Anolis sagrei: one gene and its partner. The protein of the gene in region 2 interacts with the protein of the main gene of each other region in a biochemical or structural test. Links are inferred from orthologs where the notes say so. Each region holds a gene or a part of one and is shown on either strand. Other genes may lie near its edges.

What was found. The genes of interacting proteins can lie anywhere in the genome.
Region 1: the proteins of FRMPD4 (region 2) and DLG3 interact in a test that uses a peptide from one of them, tested with the Homo sapiens proteins (2 studies listed by IntAct, with this or other methods). The link is inferred for Anolis sagrei from reciprocal best matches to the Homo sapiens genes FRMPD4 and DLG3.

The regions. Positions count from the first base shown.
Region 1 is NC_090030.1:21,587,789-21,596,016, reverse strand, and holds the start of DLG3 (disks large homolog 3), read right to left. Parts: upstream 3,945-8,228; 5' UTR 3,856-3,944; coding exon of another isoform or gene 3,840-3,855; intron 1-3,839. UniProt on the Homo sapiens protein: Required for learning most likely through its role in synaptic plasticity following NMDA receptor signaling.
Region 2 is NC_090023.1:92,545,814-92,554,318, reverse strand, and holds the start of FRMPD4 (FERM and PDZ domain-containing protein 4), read left to right. Parts: upstream 1-5,153; 5' UTR 5,154-5,219; coding exon 5,220-5,317; intron 5,318-8,505. UniProt on the Homo sapiens protein: Positive regulator of dendritic spine morphogenesis and density. Required for the maintenance of excitatory synaptic transmission. Binds phosphatidylinositol 4,5-bisphosphate.

The DNA.
Region 1 (8,228 bases), on a different chromosome or scaffold from region 2:
TCTAAACAAGAAGGAGCTCCGCCTGGAAGAAATCCTTTTTTTGTTGGGGCCAAAGGGAAGCAAACACCCAAGGCAGGAAAGAAGTTGTTCATAATATTAAAGTTGTGTCGGGCTCTCCTGCTTCCAAAATGATGGAAGTGGTTCTATGGCAAAGCTTTCAAAACTGTGTGTCCGAATGCATGAGTATATATATACTAGCTGTACCCACCACACGTTGCTGTGGCCAACCTTCCCTCCCTCTTTCTCTCCTTCTTTCTTACTCTCCTTCCTTTCCTTATTTTCTTTCCTTCTCTCCTTCCTTCCTTCTCTTCCTCTTCCCTTCCTTTCCCCCTTTTCTTTCTTCCTTCTCTATTCTTGGACTGCAACTCCCAGCAGTCCTCCTGATTGATCTACCTACCAATCTATCTTTATCCTAGCTATCTTATCTATCTGGAGGATTGATGGGAGTTGCAGTCCAGGAATAGGAAATTGGAAATATGCAGGGATTGGGATGCTCTCAAAGAGATCCAAGGAAAAGAAAGCTTGCAGCTTGGAAGCAGTGCATTTGGATCCTCCTCCTCTCCTAAAGGGATGCTGGTCTAGAAGATGCTGGGAGCTGTAGTCTGGAAGAGAGTGTGGATATGCTGTTGTGTGTTTTGTTTGCCAGGGGGAGTCGTTTTGCGCATGCGCTGTAGTGTCTTTTGGTTTTTTTTGTTTTTTAAGTCCCTTCCGCTGTATTTTTCAGTGTTTTTATGAGTGATGGTCACTCATTGGCTCGATAGGTGTCTTGTGTCCAAATTTGGTGACAATTTGTCCAGTGGTTTTTGAGTTCTGTTAATCCCACAAACAAACATTGCATTTTTATTTATATAGACTAGCCGTCCCCTGCCACACGTTGCTGTGGCCCAGTCTGTGTATATGTATTTTGTGTGTGTATATATATGTATGTTTGTATGTTTGTGTCTATTTTTGTGTGTTTGTGTATAGATGTGATTTCGCACATGCATTGTAATGTATTTTTTTGGGGGGGGGGTGGCATTTAAAGTCACTTCTGCTGTGTTTTTCAGTGTTTTATGAGTGATTGTCATTTATTGGCATGAGAGGTGTCTTGTGTCCAAATTTGGTGTCGATTCGTCCAGTGGTTTTGGAGTTATGTTAATCCCACAAACGAACATTACATTTTTATTTGTGTAGACTAGCCGTCCCCTGCCACAGGTTGCTGTGGCCCTCAGAAAACAGAGGAATTTCAGGCATGAAACAATAGACAGAAGAGGCATATGGAAGGGACACTGATAGATGGAAAAGAAGGTAGATAGATAGAACATAGATAGGTAGGTAGATGGATGGATGGTCAGACAGACAGACACACATATTTAAGGGCCAAAGGGGGTTGGACTGGATGGCCTTTGGGCTCCCTTCCAACTGGTTGGCCTTCTGTCGGGTAGGTGTTGATTGTGTCTTCTTTTACCGCCCAATGAGGTTGGACTCAGGCATGCAGCCGGGGGAGGGGCTTCAGCCCCCCCCCCCCCAAATTCTCATGGTGGTCTGCGAAAAGGCCTTACTGGTACATTATTTAAACTGTTATGTTTATTCATATCATGATCTGATCACCATACTCAATATATCCCATATGCATGGGGGTATTGGGGTAATGATACAAAAGGTTTGCTAGGGTAGACCCTCTTTCACTCAGACTCACCCCCCTCCCCCCGAATCAAACTCAGCTCCCCCTGAATCAACATCCTGGCTGCGGGCCTGGTTGGACTGGATGGCCTTTGAGGCTCCTTTCCAACTGGATGGCCATCTGTTGGGAGGGCTTTGATGGTGTCTTCCTTTGCTGTAAAAAGTGGTTGGGCTGGATGGCCTATGGGACCCCTTTAACTACCATGGCTCAATGCTGTGGAATAATTCAATGGTGTAGACCAGGTAGCGGCAGACTTTGGCCCTCCAGGGGTTTTGGACTCCAACTCCCACAATTCCTAACAGCCTTCCTAACAGCCTTTTAGGGTTGTAGTTGTTTTGTCGCAGTGTTTTTTGGTGTTTTTATGAGTGATGGTCACTCGTTGGCCTGATAGGTGTCTTGTATCCAAATTTGGTGTCAATTCGTCCAGTGGTTTTTGAGTTATGTTAATCCCACAAATGAACATTACATTTTTATTTATATAGAGATTTACTGACTTATGTTTTACTGCTATTGTTATGATTTTATTGATGTTAATGTTTTAATATATATATTTTTTGTATTTTGTGGCATTGAATTTTGCCCTGTAAACTGCCTCGAGTCGCCGCAAGGCTGAGAGGGGTGGTATACAAATAAAGTAAATAATAATAATGATTATTATAAATGGTTGGTTTAACCCTTTGGTTTTGTTTTGTTTTTTGGGGGTTTTTTTGTCGTGTCAGGAGCGACTTGAGAAACTGCAAGTCGCTTCTGGTGTGAGAGAATAGGCCGTCGGCAAGGACGTTGCCCAGGGAACGCCCGGATGATTTGATGTTTTTATCATCCTTGTGGGAGGCTTCTCTCATGTCCCCGTATGAGGAGCTGGAGCTGATAGAGGGAGCTCATCCTCCTCTCCCCGGATTTGAACCTGCGACTGGTTGGTCTTTAGTCCTTCCGGCACAGGGGTTTAACCCACTGCGCCACCAGGGCTCCAACCCTTTGGTTTGCTAGTAAAACAGAATGACCGTGTCGCGGAAGGATGCATACCACAAAAGCATGTCATGAAAAGTTCAGAAAGTTCTTCTCTATGGCGAATCCCAGCTATGAAGCAAGTAGAAAGTGCTGCACCTGTTGAACTTCTGCCTGAGATTCAATGTTTAATAGTTCAGAGCCAGTCCTGAAGAACTGAAAGGAACAACAACAACAAAAAGGAAGTGATTCTATGCTCTGTTGGGATTTCAGGTGGTGTAGAAAGAAAGAAGAAAAGTTTGCACCTGTTGAGCTTCTGCCTGAAATTCAGTAAGAGCTCAGGGCCAGCTCTGTTGGACAGAGAAGCACAAACCCAGAAGGGAGAGCTTCAATGCTCTATCTATGGGACTTTCGAGGAATGCAACTAGTAAACAAAAAGAAGGATGTGCTACACCGGTTGGTCTTCAGCCTGAAATCAATTAATTCATCATTGAGGGCTTGTCACTAACCCAGGTAGGAGGAAGGGAAGGATTGTAGGGTCTTTTTTCAAGCAATGCAAAGAAGAAAAGTTTGCACCTGTTGAGCTTCTGCCTGAAATTCAATAAGAGCTCAGGGCCAGCTCTGATGGACAGAGAAGCACAAACCCAGAAGGGAGAGCTTCAATGCTCTCTCTATGGGATTTTCGAGGAATGCAACTAGTAAACAAAAAGAAGGATGTGCTGCACCGGTTGGGATTCAGCCTGAAATCAATCAATTCATCGTTGAGGGCTTGTCACTAACCCAGGTAGGAGGAAGGGAGGGATTGTAGGATCTTTACAAGCAATGCAAAGAAGGAAGAGCTAGACCTGTTGAACTTCTGCCTGAAGCTCAACAAGTAAATACTTTTAGAGCCAGGCCTGAAGAATAAAGAGGAGAAGGATGGGAGAGATTCTATGTTCAGAGGTATTTTTTAAGCAATGCATTTAGAAGAAAAGAAAGAAGAGCTGCTCCTGTTGAATGTCTGCATGAAGCTACTAGAGTAGATTCTAAAGAAAAAGGAGGAAGTGCTGCACCGGTTGGGCTTCTGCCTGAAAGCTTGATAGTTAAGAGTCCAAAGGAAAGAGAGAAACGCCTCTCTATTAGGGAGAAAGGAAGAGGGTTAAGGAACTCGGAGGAGAAAGTTGGGGAAAGTTCACTTTCGGGCTGCCGTGTAAACAGCCCCTCCCTGAAACCGAAGTGACTCCGCTTTTACCTTTCCGACGGTTCATGGTCCAGAGGGGCGGCCGAAGAGTCCCCAAGAGGGCCGCCCCAGGCAGGAAGGAAGGAGGGAGGAAAGGAAGGAGGGAGGAAGAAGGGAACGCGAAAGAGGAGAAGGAGGAGGAGTGCAGGGCAAAAGGGGCCGGCCTCCAGCTCCTCTGTCCGGGCGGGGGGACCACACTGGACTCCCAACCAAAAAGACCCCTCCTCTTGATACACGACTCTTGATATTAAATGGTTATGACATGGAAGGAAGGGAGGGAGGAAAGAAAGATGGAAGGAAAGGAAGAAGGAAGGGAGGAAAGAAATAATGAAAGAAGGGGGAACGAAAAAAAGGAAAGAAGGAAGGAAAGAAAGGAATGAAGGAAGTAAATAGAAAGGAGGAAAGAAAGGAAAGAAAGATGGGAAGGAGAGAAAGAAAGAAGGCAGGAAGGAAGAAAAGAAAGAAGGAAGGAAAGAGTGAGGGAATGATAATAAAGGAAAGAAAGAAAGTGAAAGGAAGGAAGGAAAAAAGCAGGAAAGAAAGATGGGAAGAAGGGAGGAAAGAAAGAAGGAAGCAAAGAAGGAAGGAAGGAAAGAATGAAAGAAGGAGGGAACGAATAAAGGAAGGAAGCAAAGAAGGAAGAAAAAAGGAAGGAAAGGAAGGAAGGAAAGAGAAAGAAGGAAGGAAGGAAAAAGAGGAAAGAAAGATTGGAAGAAGGAGGGAAAGAAAGAAGGCAGGAAAGAGATAGAAGGAAGGAAAAAAGGATGGAAGCAAAGAAGAAAGGAAGGAAAGAAAGAAGGAAGGAAAGTGTGAGGGAATGATAATAAAGGAAAGAAAGAAAATGAAAGGAAGAAAAGCAGGAAAGAAAGAAAGCGAAAGAAGGAAGGAAAAAAGCAGGAAAGAAAGAAAAATGGGAAGAAGGGAGGAAAGAAAGAAGGAAGCAAAGAAGGGAGGAAGGAAGGAAAGGAGGAAGGAAGGAAAGAATGAAAGAAGGAGGGAACAAAAAAAGGAAATAAGGAAGGAAGCAAAGAAGGAAGAAAGAATGAAGGAAGGAAAGAAAGGAATGAAGGAAGTAAAGAGAAAGAAGGAAGGAAAAAAGAAAGAAAGATGGGAAGGAGGGAAAGAAAGAAAGAAGGCAGGAAGGAAGGAAAGAAAAAAGGAAGGAAGGAGTGAGGGAATGATAATAAAGGAAAGGAAGAAAGCGAAAGAAGGAAGGAAAAAAGCAGGAAAGAAAGATGGGAAGGAGGGAGGAAAGAAAGAAGGAAGCAAAGAAGGAAGGAAGGAAGGAAAGGAGAAAGGAAGGAAAGAATGAAAGAAGGAGGGAACAAAAAAAGGAAAGAAAGAAGGAAGCAAAGAAGGAAGAAAGAATTAAGAAAAGAAGGAAAGGAAGGAAGGAAGGAAGAAAGAAAAAAGGAGAGAAAGATGGTAAGGAGGAGGGAAAAAAAAGCAGGAAGGCAGGAAGGAAGAAAAAAAGGAAGGAAGGAGTGAGGGAATGATAATAAAGGAAAGAAAGAAAGTGAAAGGAAGGAAAAAATAGGAAAGAAAGATGGGAGGAAGGGAGGAAAAAAAGAAAGAAGCAAAGAAAGGAAGGCAAGAAAGAAGGAAAGAAGGAAAGCAGCAAGGAAGGAAAGAGTGAGGGAATGATAATAAAAGAAAGCGAAAGGAAGCAAAGAAGGAAGGAAAAAAAGAAAGAAAGCAAGAAAGAAGGATGGAAAGAAAGAAGGAAAGAGAATGAGGAAATAAAACATTTGTAGTAAAACTTTATTTGTAGAAAGGAATGAAGGAAGGAAGCAGGCAATGGAATAGTTAAAGAGGGATTTGTGTTTCTGGGTTATCAATGTCATTTCCTAACTGGTTCTATCATAAAAACATGGGAAAAGTTTATTAAATAGCAAAAGGTTTGTTTTTGCAAGACATCCCGCAGTACATTTGGCTCTCGTTTTTCCATGAATCTCTCATTGAGTCTCAACCGAGCCAAGATAGTCTGAAGCACACAAAAACAAACTTTTACTTGGAAAAGAGTAGATCAACTCCTTTCCAAGTAAGGACCACACAATTAAACAGGAAGTCCCACTTTCAAACTGGGGACGGAACATTTTTCTGCAGGATGTCCCTTCCGCAACCAAGTTTTTGCAGTTTAATACATTTTTTCCATGATTTTAGGATATAACCAATTAGGAAATGACATTTATAACCCGGGAAAACATGTTTCATAGCGTTCTGGATCCTGACTCTGTTTCCTGAAGCATTAGTTCTCCCTTCCAGTTATCTGCATCCCATGAATCCAAGAATTGGTCCAATGCAACTTACTGTTGACAATGAACTATAAATCCCTCCAAGGTTTGCTTCCAGGAGAACACCGCTTTCTTCTTCCAGCAGGCTTTCAGGATGGGGTTACTTTTATTTGCTTTCCCCCCCACCATTCCAGAGTTTCAATGTTATTTTTAATCACAACTTTGTGGGTGTTTTCCAATCAGGTTTGTATTTATTGTATTGTCGAAGGCTTTCATGGCCGGAATCACTGGGTTGTTGTACGTTTTTTCGGGCTGTATGGGCATAGTCTAGAAGCATTCTCTCCTGACGTTTCGCCTGCATCTATGGCAAGCATCCTCAGAGGTAGTGAGGTCTGTTGGAACTAGGAAAAAGGGTTTATATATCTGTGGAATCACCAGGGTGAGACAAAGGACTCTTGTCTGCTGGAGCTAGGTGTGAATGTTTCAACTGACCACCTTGAGTAGCATACAATGGCCTGACTGTGTCTGGAGCAAGCTTTTGTTGACTGTGCCTGGAGCAAGCTTTTGTTGAGAGGTAATTAGATGTCCCTGCCTGCTTACTCTGTTGTTGTGCTGTTGCAATTTTAGTTTTTTTTAATACTGGTAGCCAAATTTTGTTCATTTTCATGGTTTCCTCCTTTCTGTTGAAATTGTCCACATGCTTGTGTATTTCAATGGCTTCTGTGTAGTCTGACATGGTGGTTGTGAGAGTGGTCCAGCATTTCTGTGTTCTCAAATACAGCATTTTATTTGAGTTCCAACAGACCTCACTACCTCTGAGGATGCTTGTCATAGATGCAGGCAAAACATCAGGAGAGAATGCCTCTAGACCATGGCCAAACAGACCGAAAAAACCTACAACAACCCTTTGTATTTATTTGTTGTGCTGTGTTTTGTAAACTGCTTTGAGTCACTTTGGAGGAAGGGAAAGAGTGGATATAAATACAATAACGAGTGCAACGTATAAGATCCCACTGTCCACAGCCTGAAAAACACCCCAAAAGACAATTTCCAAAGTCATCTGCCACTTTTTATAAAGGGATGCAATTGTAAAACTTAACTTTTATTAGTACTAATGATTTTTGTATGGCTTTGAATTCTTATTTTTTTTATCTATGCCTGCTACTTGTGTTTTACTTGACTTGAAGGAATGCAAATATTATAATAGTAAAGGTTTCCCCTGACATTAAGTCTAGTCGTGTCTGACTCAGGGCGGTGATGCTCATCTCCATTTCCAAGCCGAAGAGCCGACGTTGTCCATAGACACCTCCACGTTCATATGGCTAGCATGACTGCATAGAGAGCTGTTACCTTCCCGCCAAAGTGCTACTTTTTGATCTACTCACATTTGCATGTTTTTGAACTGCTAGGTTGGCAGAAGCTGGGGCTAACAGCGGGAGCTCACGTCGCTCCCCAGATTCGAACCGCCAACCTTTCAGTCAGCAAGTTCAGCAGCTCAGTGGCATAACCCACTGCACCATCAGAGATGGCCATCCAGCCTCTGTTTAAAAGCCTCCAAAAATGAGCTTTTTTGTGTCTCTTTTGGCAGAGAAATAATAACAATAACAATAGAAATAAGCAGCATCAAACTGCCTTAATCCTATTTATGTTTGTTGCTTTGAGACCTTTTGGCAGAGAAAAAGCAGAGCAACAACAACAATGATAATAATAGATCACATCCTCAGCTGCTGCAAGAAGATCGCACAGACAGACTACAAGCAGAGGCACAACACCATTGCTCAGATGATTCATTGGAACTTGTATCACAAATACCATCTGCCTGCGACAAAGAAGTGGTGGGATCACAAGCCGGAAAGAGTTACAGAGAATGAACACGCCAAACTCCTCTGGGACTTCCGAATTCAGAAAGAGAGTTTAGGAGCATAATACTCCTGACCTCACAATAGTGTTAAAAAACAACGTATGGATCATCGATGTGAACTGGAAAAGCTGACACGATATAGGGATTTAAAAATCGAACAGCAAAGACTCTGGCAGAAACCAGTAAAGGTGGTCGGAGTGGTGATCGGCACACTGGGTGCAATGCCTAAAGACCTTGGCTTGTACTTAAACACAATCAGCGCTGACAAAATTATCATCTGCCACCTTACTGGGATCTGCACGCATT
Region 2 (8,505 bases):
AAGGCCCAGGGTTCGTATGCGGCCCTCCAAGGTCATTTACCCAGCCCTCACTCAGGGTCAACCTAAGTCCGAAATGACTTGAAAGCACACAACAACAACAACAATCCTATCTCATCAGCCAAAACAAGCCCACACTTCCCACTGAAATACTAATAAGTTTATACTTGTTAAAATTGTTCTTCATTTTAATTATTGCATTGTTTGAAGTGTTTTTTTGCACTACAAATAAGATATGTGCAGTGTGCATAGGAATTCATTCATGTTTTTTTTTTTTTCAAATTATAATCCGGCCCTCCAACAGTCTGATGGACTGTGACCAGTCCCTCTGTTTAAAAAGTTGGAGGGCCCCTGGTCTAAAGGAAAGCTATGGTAATTATTGCAAGATCTAAGGTACAACATTAATATGAATTAATTGATATCTTTTGTTGCTACTAAGGGGTTGCAACGTACTTTATCTAAGTTGTTGTTTGTGCTATAACTTTAAGTTGCTGTAAGGTTCAAGGCTGTTTGTGCTACAGCTGTTTCAGTTAATTGAAGAGTTAATTGAGAGTGTTATTTTCATGTGTATAAAGATAGCTACTGTGTGTTTAGCCATTTGCCATTGTGCGTTTATGCTATTGTGCATCTATGCCTCTGTGCCGTTCTGCTTTGTGTAAGCCGGGGACTATGCTGCAGATGTCCTGTGAAGACACAGCCATGAGAAGAGGACAAGGATTCCTGCTTATCTCAGCTGAGTAGTGATATCTCTCAGAAGATATTGTTTCATGTTACTTTTGTGGAAACAGTAATCCTGCTACTTTGTTTTTGTATGCTGCTAATACTACAATATTTTCTTTTCTACTTTAAGCCGAAGTCTCGTGTGTTTTTCTTTTATGAGTAATTTCATCACACACACAGTTAACTGGGCTACAGTCAGTCTGCATGCTACTCATGCTAACGCATGACATCTTTGATTTTTGTTGTGCCATTAACTATTGAATTGTTGTTTAATGAAATATATAAGAATTAAAGGGGCAATAGGCATTCCTGGGCTAACTTTTCCAATTCCATGGAATGTGTTCATATCTGCTTTCTTTTACTGGCTGCAGAGGAAAGATTTTGTTAGGGGGGGATTAATAAGGTTACTGTAGCACAATGAGCAATTCTCCAAGTCTCCAGGAAAGGTCATGGTCACTTTAAAAACCCACTTTTATTTAGGGATGCTGACATTTAAAAGTTCCCCAGAAAGACATTTTATGTCCTACATTTTTATAATCCCTTCCATCCTACTGTATGTGGTTTAACTTCTTCATAGATATGCTAGGACATTCAGGATATATTAACGTGGCTTTTAGAACATTTCACGTTTCTGTGAAAAACACTGAGTGTATATACATTTACCACCATTCAGAAATCCAATTAGATTACATAAACATTTTTAAATGTTGTAAAGACTTTTAAAAAAGCTTTTGAAAGCTACTTATGAATAGTGGCAAAATCTTAACAAATTCACACGTGACTTGATGGACCTTGAACAAAATCTGTTAAAGCTTTTCTGTGGACCCAATTATTTGTGAAGTACAGTATACAGTATTTTTAAAGAAGCTATAGAGAACAAATGAACATAATTTACCCAATGTCAAATTCTTGTAGGTTTGTTTTTATGGAGAGGGAAAGCACATGCAACATAAATGGGCCGGCAGAACATTGGATAAGCAAAAATGTTGAATAATGAAGGATTATGGAAAACCCTTTTAAACATAAAACTATGTTATGATTTCACAAATTAAGCACCAAAACATCGTGTTTTATAACAAATCAACAAAAAAGTAGTTCAATACATGGTAACGTTATGTAGTAATTACTGTATTTATGAATTTAGCACCAAAACATTGTAATGCATTGAAACATCTGTGGATCTGGGCAGGAGGCAGACTGCATTGGATAATACAAAACATTGGATGAGCAAAGATTGGATAAGCAAACCTCTACTATACCTGTATTAACTAGGCCTGGGTAACAACGGAAAAATTTGTTTCTAAAATCGATTTGTATTTGGGGTTTTTTTTTGTTTTGATATTTAAAATAATTACAAAATTTTCCCTTAAAAAAGTTCGATATTTACGAAATTTCGTAAATGTGAAAAAAATTACAAAACATTAACGAATCGATTTCCGAAACAATAACGAATCGATTCGTTAATGGCGGACGCGACCGCGAAATACGCTAAAAAACCTCCAAAAACTTCTGAAGCTTCCCTCTCCCTCTGTTGTTGACTGTTGGTGTGATATTATAATTTTTTTTCACTAATTAAACAAAAAACTTGCCCCAGACATGCGGAAATAATAACGAAACGACCTCAGAACAATAACGAAACGAATACAATAACGAAATACGAAGCATTTACAAAACGTGTTTAAAAATTTGTTTTTTTAAAAAATTGCTCCAGAATGGTTTGTTATCGTTTTGTAATTGAAAAAATTAACGAATTATTAACGAATTATGAATTAACGAAACAAAACCGCCCAGCCCTAGTATTAACATGCATAATGAGATATTTTGGAGATAGGGCTGAAATCTAAACACAAAATAAATAGCTGGAAGGCAATTTTATACAATACTTTAATAATTTCTGCATGAAACAGAGTTTGTATCCACTGAACCACCAGAAAGCAAAGGCTGCCCATGTAGACAAGATCATATTTTGGAATATTTTGATTTTCAGATTTCCAAATAAGGGATAATCAGCCTGTCATATGTACTATCATAAAAGAAGTGTAGAATTAGACTAGAATTCTGTAAACCAGGGTTCAGATCCCTTCTCATCTACAAAACTCCAGTGTGTGGCCTTGAGCAAGTCATACCATTTCATGCTCAGATGAAAGCAATGCCAGTTCTCCCCTCCAAAGAAATCTTACCAAGAGAATCTTATGATAGGTTTATTTAAGGATTGCCATAAATTGGAAATAAAGAAACAATATGTTGGCTTAGTAATAGCTGCAGCATGTTTCAGAATTTGGAACTATGTTTAGAAAGACAGGTTTGAATATAGTATCATTCACTCTGAAATATGTCTTTCTTCATTATCTTGACTGATGCTTCTTTGAGGTATATTTTGATAACTCTATCCATCTCTCAGTGTTTTGCATACAGAGTGGGGAGAGTAAAAAAGATTTCACCAACTGCTGTCACATCCCCCACAGAGTTCCTTTCATGCAAAGGCTTAGCTATCTTCTTTTATGAGAAGGGGAATGTTCTAGACATGTAACAAAAATCCCCAGATATGTATAAAGTGATGCCCATGACAAGAATAGGGAGTTTGTTACATTCAGCAAACAGAGTGCATGCTTACCTTGTTTGAACTTATCGCTAAGAAAGAGGGAGACAATACTATCACTAAATTACAGGCAAACTGTAATCATATCATTCATTTTCATGTGCATAACTGTTATATGTCCATGTGTGCTAGGCAAACATATAGAATATATAGGCAGTCCCCAAGTTACAAACAAGATAGGTTCTGTTGGTTTGTTCTTAAGTTGAATTTGTATTCAAGTCAGAACAGGTGAATTTTGTAACCCCAGCCATATACATTCATCTGTCTGTCTGTGTGTCTGTCTGTAAGCTTTGGATAGCATAGGGAAGGGTGAACATGCCTGTGGTATTTGTTTTGCTGTCTGTGCCCCTGTTTAGAAGATTTCACCTCACTTTCACCTATGAGAATTGGATTTTGGGGAAAAATGGCTTGTTTTAGAAACAAGGTTTGTTGATAGAGCTTCAGTGGAGACACCTTTTCCCCATGGTAATTCATTCAGGAGTAAGTTTCCCTTCTGAGGGGTAGATTTATCTCACTTCCTTTAGTGTCACGATGCCAAGGCTCTGCCGTTATTTCCAGCAGAGGTGAATCAAACAAACACCCAGTTTGTATTAAACAATTTTAATACTGCAAAACATGATACATGACATTTAGTCTCACAGAGGTGAGACTAAGGGCCCTTCCACACAACTATATAACCCAGAATGTCAAGGCAGAAAACCCCACAATATCTGATTTGTACTGGGATATCTGAATCCACACTGCCATGTATTCCAGTTCAAAGCAGAAAATGTAGGATTTTATTCAGCTGTGTGGAAGGGGCCTAACTATAAGTCATTTGTAAGTCAGATGTTTGTTACTTGGGGTCTGCCTGTACATGTTTCTGCTTCCTCCTTCTTCTATATTCCCTGCATTTAAGAACGTATGCCTATAGACAACATTCAAATGTTTAAGTTTCAGCACTATTGTTCTCCTCGGTTTTATCCATTTTTTTCTAAGGTTTGTAGTAAATAATAAATAGAATTATTTTACTTAGGTCCTGCTGTAGGGCCACTTATTAGAATATTACGTATACTGTGACATCAGGGTGGTAAATCTATAAGTTGTTTACTAGGCTGGCATGCTGAGTTTTTAATAAGTTGACGGGCAACTTGAAAGCTCATATACATACACATATTTAAAGAACAGATTAATTCTCAGATGAGTTGAGCTCTGTTGGTGTCTTCCTGGAAAGGACACTCTTCAATGTTATAAAATTGACTTAGGAATAGTGGCTCAACTAGCAATATATATACACACGCGCGCACACACATACTTTATTTTCATTATCCCTGTGGTAAATTACTGTGGCTGAAGAGTCTTTCTTATCTGGCAGAAGTATTAGTCACTGGACCCTGGGTCCTTCCATTTACAGTTTCAGTCCCTTCAAGGATGCTAAAAGAAGGGCAGAAATCCTAAACTCTGCTAAATGACTGAGGGGAAAAGCAAACTTTATGGTTTATCAACATTCCCTTTAAGAAGCTCCACATTTTGATGTAGTTTACAAGCCTGAATGTCAGGTCTGAACCGCAGAAAGCCATACTTCTACAAAGGAGATGGGGTGGTTTCTTGTGGTTTCTGTCTGAGCCATTGATTTTGTAAAGCTCTCTAAAAGCACATGACCTCTTAAACGTATCTTGTTTCTAGATGGCAGAATAATGGAATATGATTGGTCTCCAAGCACTTATTGCTGGTCTTTTTTCCCAGTGTCTGTGTCACTGTCATGCTCACACACTTTCCTTAGCTATTTTTGTGTCTGCCTCCTTTCCCTGGTGAAGAACCTCAGCTGTTGTCCTTCTGAAAAAATACCAATAGCAAAGCTGCCTCTGGCTGGCTCAATGAAGAATATAGAGACAGTGGCTACATTTCTGTACCTCTAAAGATCATGGAGAGAGAGTTCCCTGGAGAAGAAATTCAGCAGACCCTTGGTCTTCCCTGGGACACCGACAAGGTCACAGAGGATGAAGAGAAGCAGCTTTGTCAGTGAGTAATAATATATCATTTTGCAAAGCTCCTTCATCATTTCTGCACAATGATATAATCGGTTTGAGCTCTATGTGGAGGCATAGAAAAATGGCATTTGGCCCTTTGACATTCAATGCAACTGCTGATTTGTATAGCTAGAGGTAATATTGTTGTGCACCAGCAAATACTTCTGTTTCTATGCAGGATGTATGATATATATTAAGTGTGAAGAAAAGTAAAGTTGAGTACTGCTAATTCATGCACTTGTATTGCAGTATGATATGACTCTCTCTTATTTCCCCCCCCCCCCCCAACCTATCAGCATAAGCTATATGCCTTCATTATTAGTCCAGAGGCAACTTGAAGACAATATAAAATTGTTTTATATTGATGTGTAAGGGATACTGTCTGTACGTTTTAAATATCCAGGATAACCTAATGTCATGTAATGCCAAAGTGAAGCTGAACGGTCAGCAAATTGTCAGAGTAATAATATCGGAATGTCAACTTTCCTTACCTTTTAATTGCATTTTTTGAAAAGATTAAATGTTATTAAAATTCCAAAAATCAAGAGAAATAGCTGATCTGGCTTTCAAATGGGTTAAATATTGAAAATGGCACTGTATTTATTTGTTCTACAAATACACACACACACACACACACACACACACACACACACTGATGGGTTTTTTTTAACCACAGCAGTAGAAATGAATGAAAATAATTTAAATAAAAAACAAATTAATAAAGAGGATGTAAAATATTTGCTCCTCTCATTTTGCTAACTGTTCTATTCGCCATAACTGTGGCATCTTCTCTTTGTTGCCAGCAGAAGTATAATGACATAAGGCAGAAGAACTAATTAAATGACTAATAAACAGTTTTAGGTTATATTGAAAAATAGCGCCATTTTATTTATTTATCTGTTCTTATCAGTATGACTTCCATTTTAGAGGGGCAATGCTTTTTCTCCAGGTTTCAGTCCAGACTTTAAAACAGTTATCCAAATATTATTTTGATGATAGGCAGCAGCTCAGTTAGCTCCTTTAAAATCTCATTCAAAATCTGGAGTGGGTTCAGTGCACCACTGACATGGACAGTACTGCCAGCTACTCCTTTTTTTCCCCATGCTTCTTCCAAAAACTCAATGGTAGATCTGTCAAAAATTCCCCCCTTTTCACCTACATATCTCTGAATATTTGTAGTCCAGAAAAATAACATTTCCAAGCTTCAAAAAAGCAATATTCCTGGCTTTCCTCTAGCACATTCTGTTAGGGTTCCTTGTTGTTTATTCATTCAGTTGCTTCCATCTCTTTGTGATTTCATGGACCAGCCCATGCCAGAGCTCCCTGTTGCCCATCACCACCATCAGCTCCTTCAAAGTCAAGCCAGTCACTTCAAAGATACCACCCATCCCTCTTGCCCTTGGATGGCCCTCTTTCTTTTTCCTTCAATTTTCCCCAACATTATTGTCTTCTCTAAGCTTTCCTGTCTACTCATGATGTGGTCAAAGTACTTCATCTTTGTCTCTAATACCCTTTCCTCCAATGAGCAGCTGGGCTTTATTTACTGAAATGTGGACTGGTTGGATCTTCTGTCAGTCCAAGGCACCCTTAAGGAAGTGTGATTGGTCCAAAACCACACATTCTGGGATTTTTGTCACAGCACACCAATTTAAAACTGGCCCGTCTTCCTCTAAGCCAGGTATTCTGTCTGCAACACCATCATTTGCTGAGATAGCATAATATTCAGGTTTCTACCCTTTCCATTAAAGAACTTCAGTTGCACTGCTTTCCCTTATCTGCTCTTCTAGAATTGGTTTTTAAATGAATGCTACAACCATGACTTCATCCTTAACCTTTTTTCTCCACTTGTCAGGAGGCTTTTCCACAAAGCTCCTCAGAAGACAGCCTTTCCACAATGCCACCTAAGTTCACACTGCCTTTTGCATGCTGCTCTTGCCAGGCAGCAGATGCATAGCAAGAATGCAGAATATATTTTTAAGAGCTGTTTGCCACTTGTTCAGCAGTGCCAGCCATACTCAAGGAAGACACAAAGGCACCAAGGCTGGAAAAGAGACAAATTACAAGATCCCCTAGCTCATTTGTCCAGAACAGGGAACTTCTGTAAGTTTTGCTAAGGCAGCAGTTTCTTTGGTCTCCAAGGGTCCATCTCCATTGGCAAATTTCCCATTCTCTTGCAGTGTTTCTATACTTGTGCATATGCAGACTGAGGAAATTGTCTGATGATTGCTGTAAAGGGATCACTTGGCCATTTCAGCAATGGCTGCTCCTTGGTAGAACAGTGGATGTTTTTGTTTTTGTCATCATCATCATCATCATCATCATCATCATCATCATCATAATCATCATCAATTTACTGCCACTAATGTGCATGATGATTTACAAGTAAACCCTCCCCCCCTCCAAAAAAAAAAACAATGGACTTTGCCAAAAGTGTACATATAAAAGCAGCTCCCAAGTTATGAGCAAGATAGCTTCTGTAGGTTTGTTTTTATGTTGAATTTGTAAGTCAGAACAGGTACATTTTTAAAGTGTAACTCCAGTCAGATAAATAGGAGGATAGATAAGCTTTGCATAGTATAGGAAAGGATTAACACCCATGTGATATTTCTTTTCCTGTCCTTGACCCTGTTGAGAAGATTTCACCTCAATTTCTGTCCCTGTTATAATTAGGTTTTGAAAAATGGGGCTAGTTATGGAAACAAGGATTGGTGATAAAGCTTCAGTTGAGACACCTTTTCCCTCTAATAACTCTTTTAGGAGTGAATTCCCTTTCTGGGGGTAGATTTCTCTCATTACTGGTTGTCTCACCCCCGTTCTTAACTATGAGTCATTTGTAAGTCAGATGTTTGTAACTTGGGGACTGCCTATACACAGAAAGGGAAGGAATGAATAACAAAGCTAAAGCACTTCACAGCAGCTATCCAAGGTTCTGAATCCCCCCCCCCCCCCCGCACTCATCACCCTGGTTAGAAGATAGAACTAAAACTAATAGCAGTTTCAATGCCACCAAGTCCCTCTTGGCATTTTAATACTGTTCTTCCTAGATAACAGGGACTCTGAATTTCATGCCAGTCTCCCTGAAGTCTAGCCCGTATTCATCTGTTGGAGGTCCAAGATTTAAGTCTAGTTCGTGGGCTGGGGTTAGGACTTTTAGTTCTGCTTAAAACCTGGAACTCCACT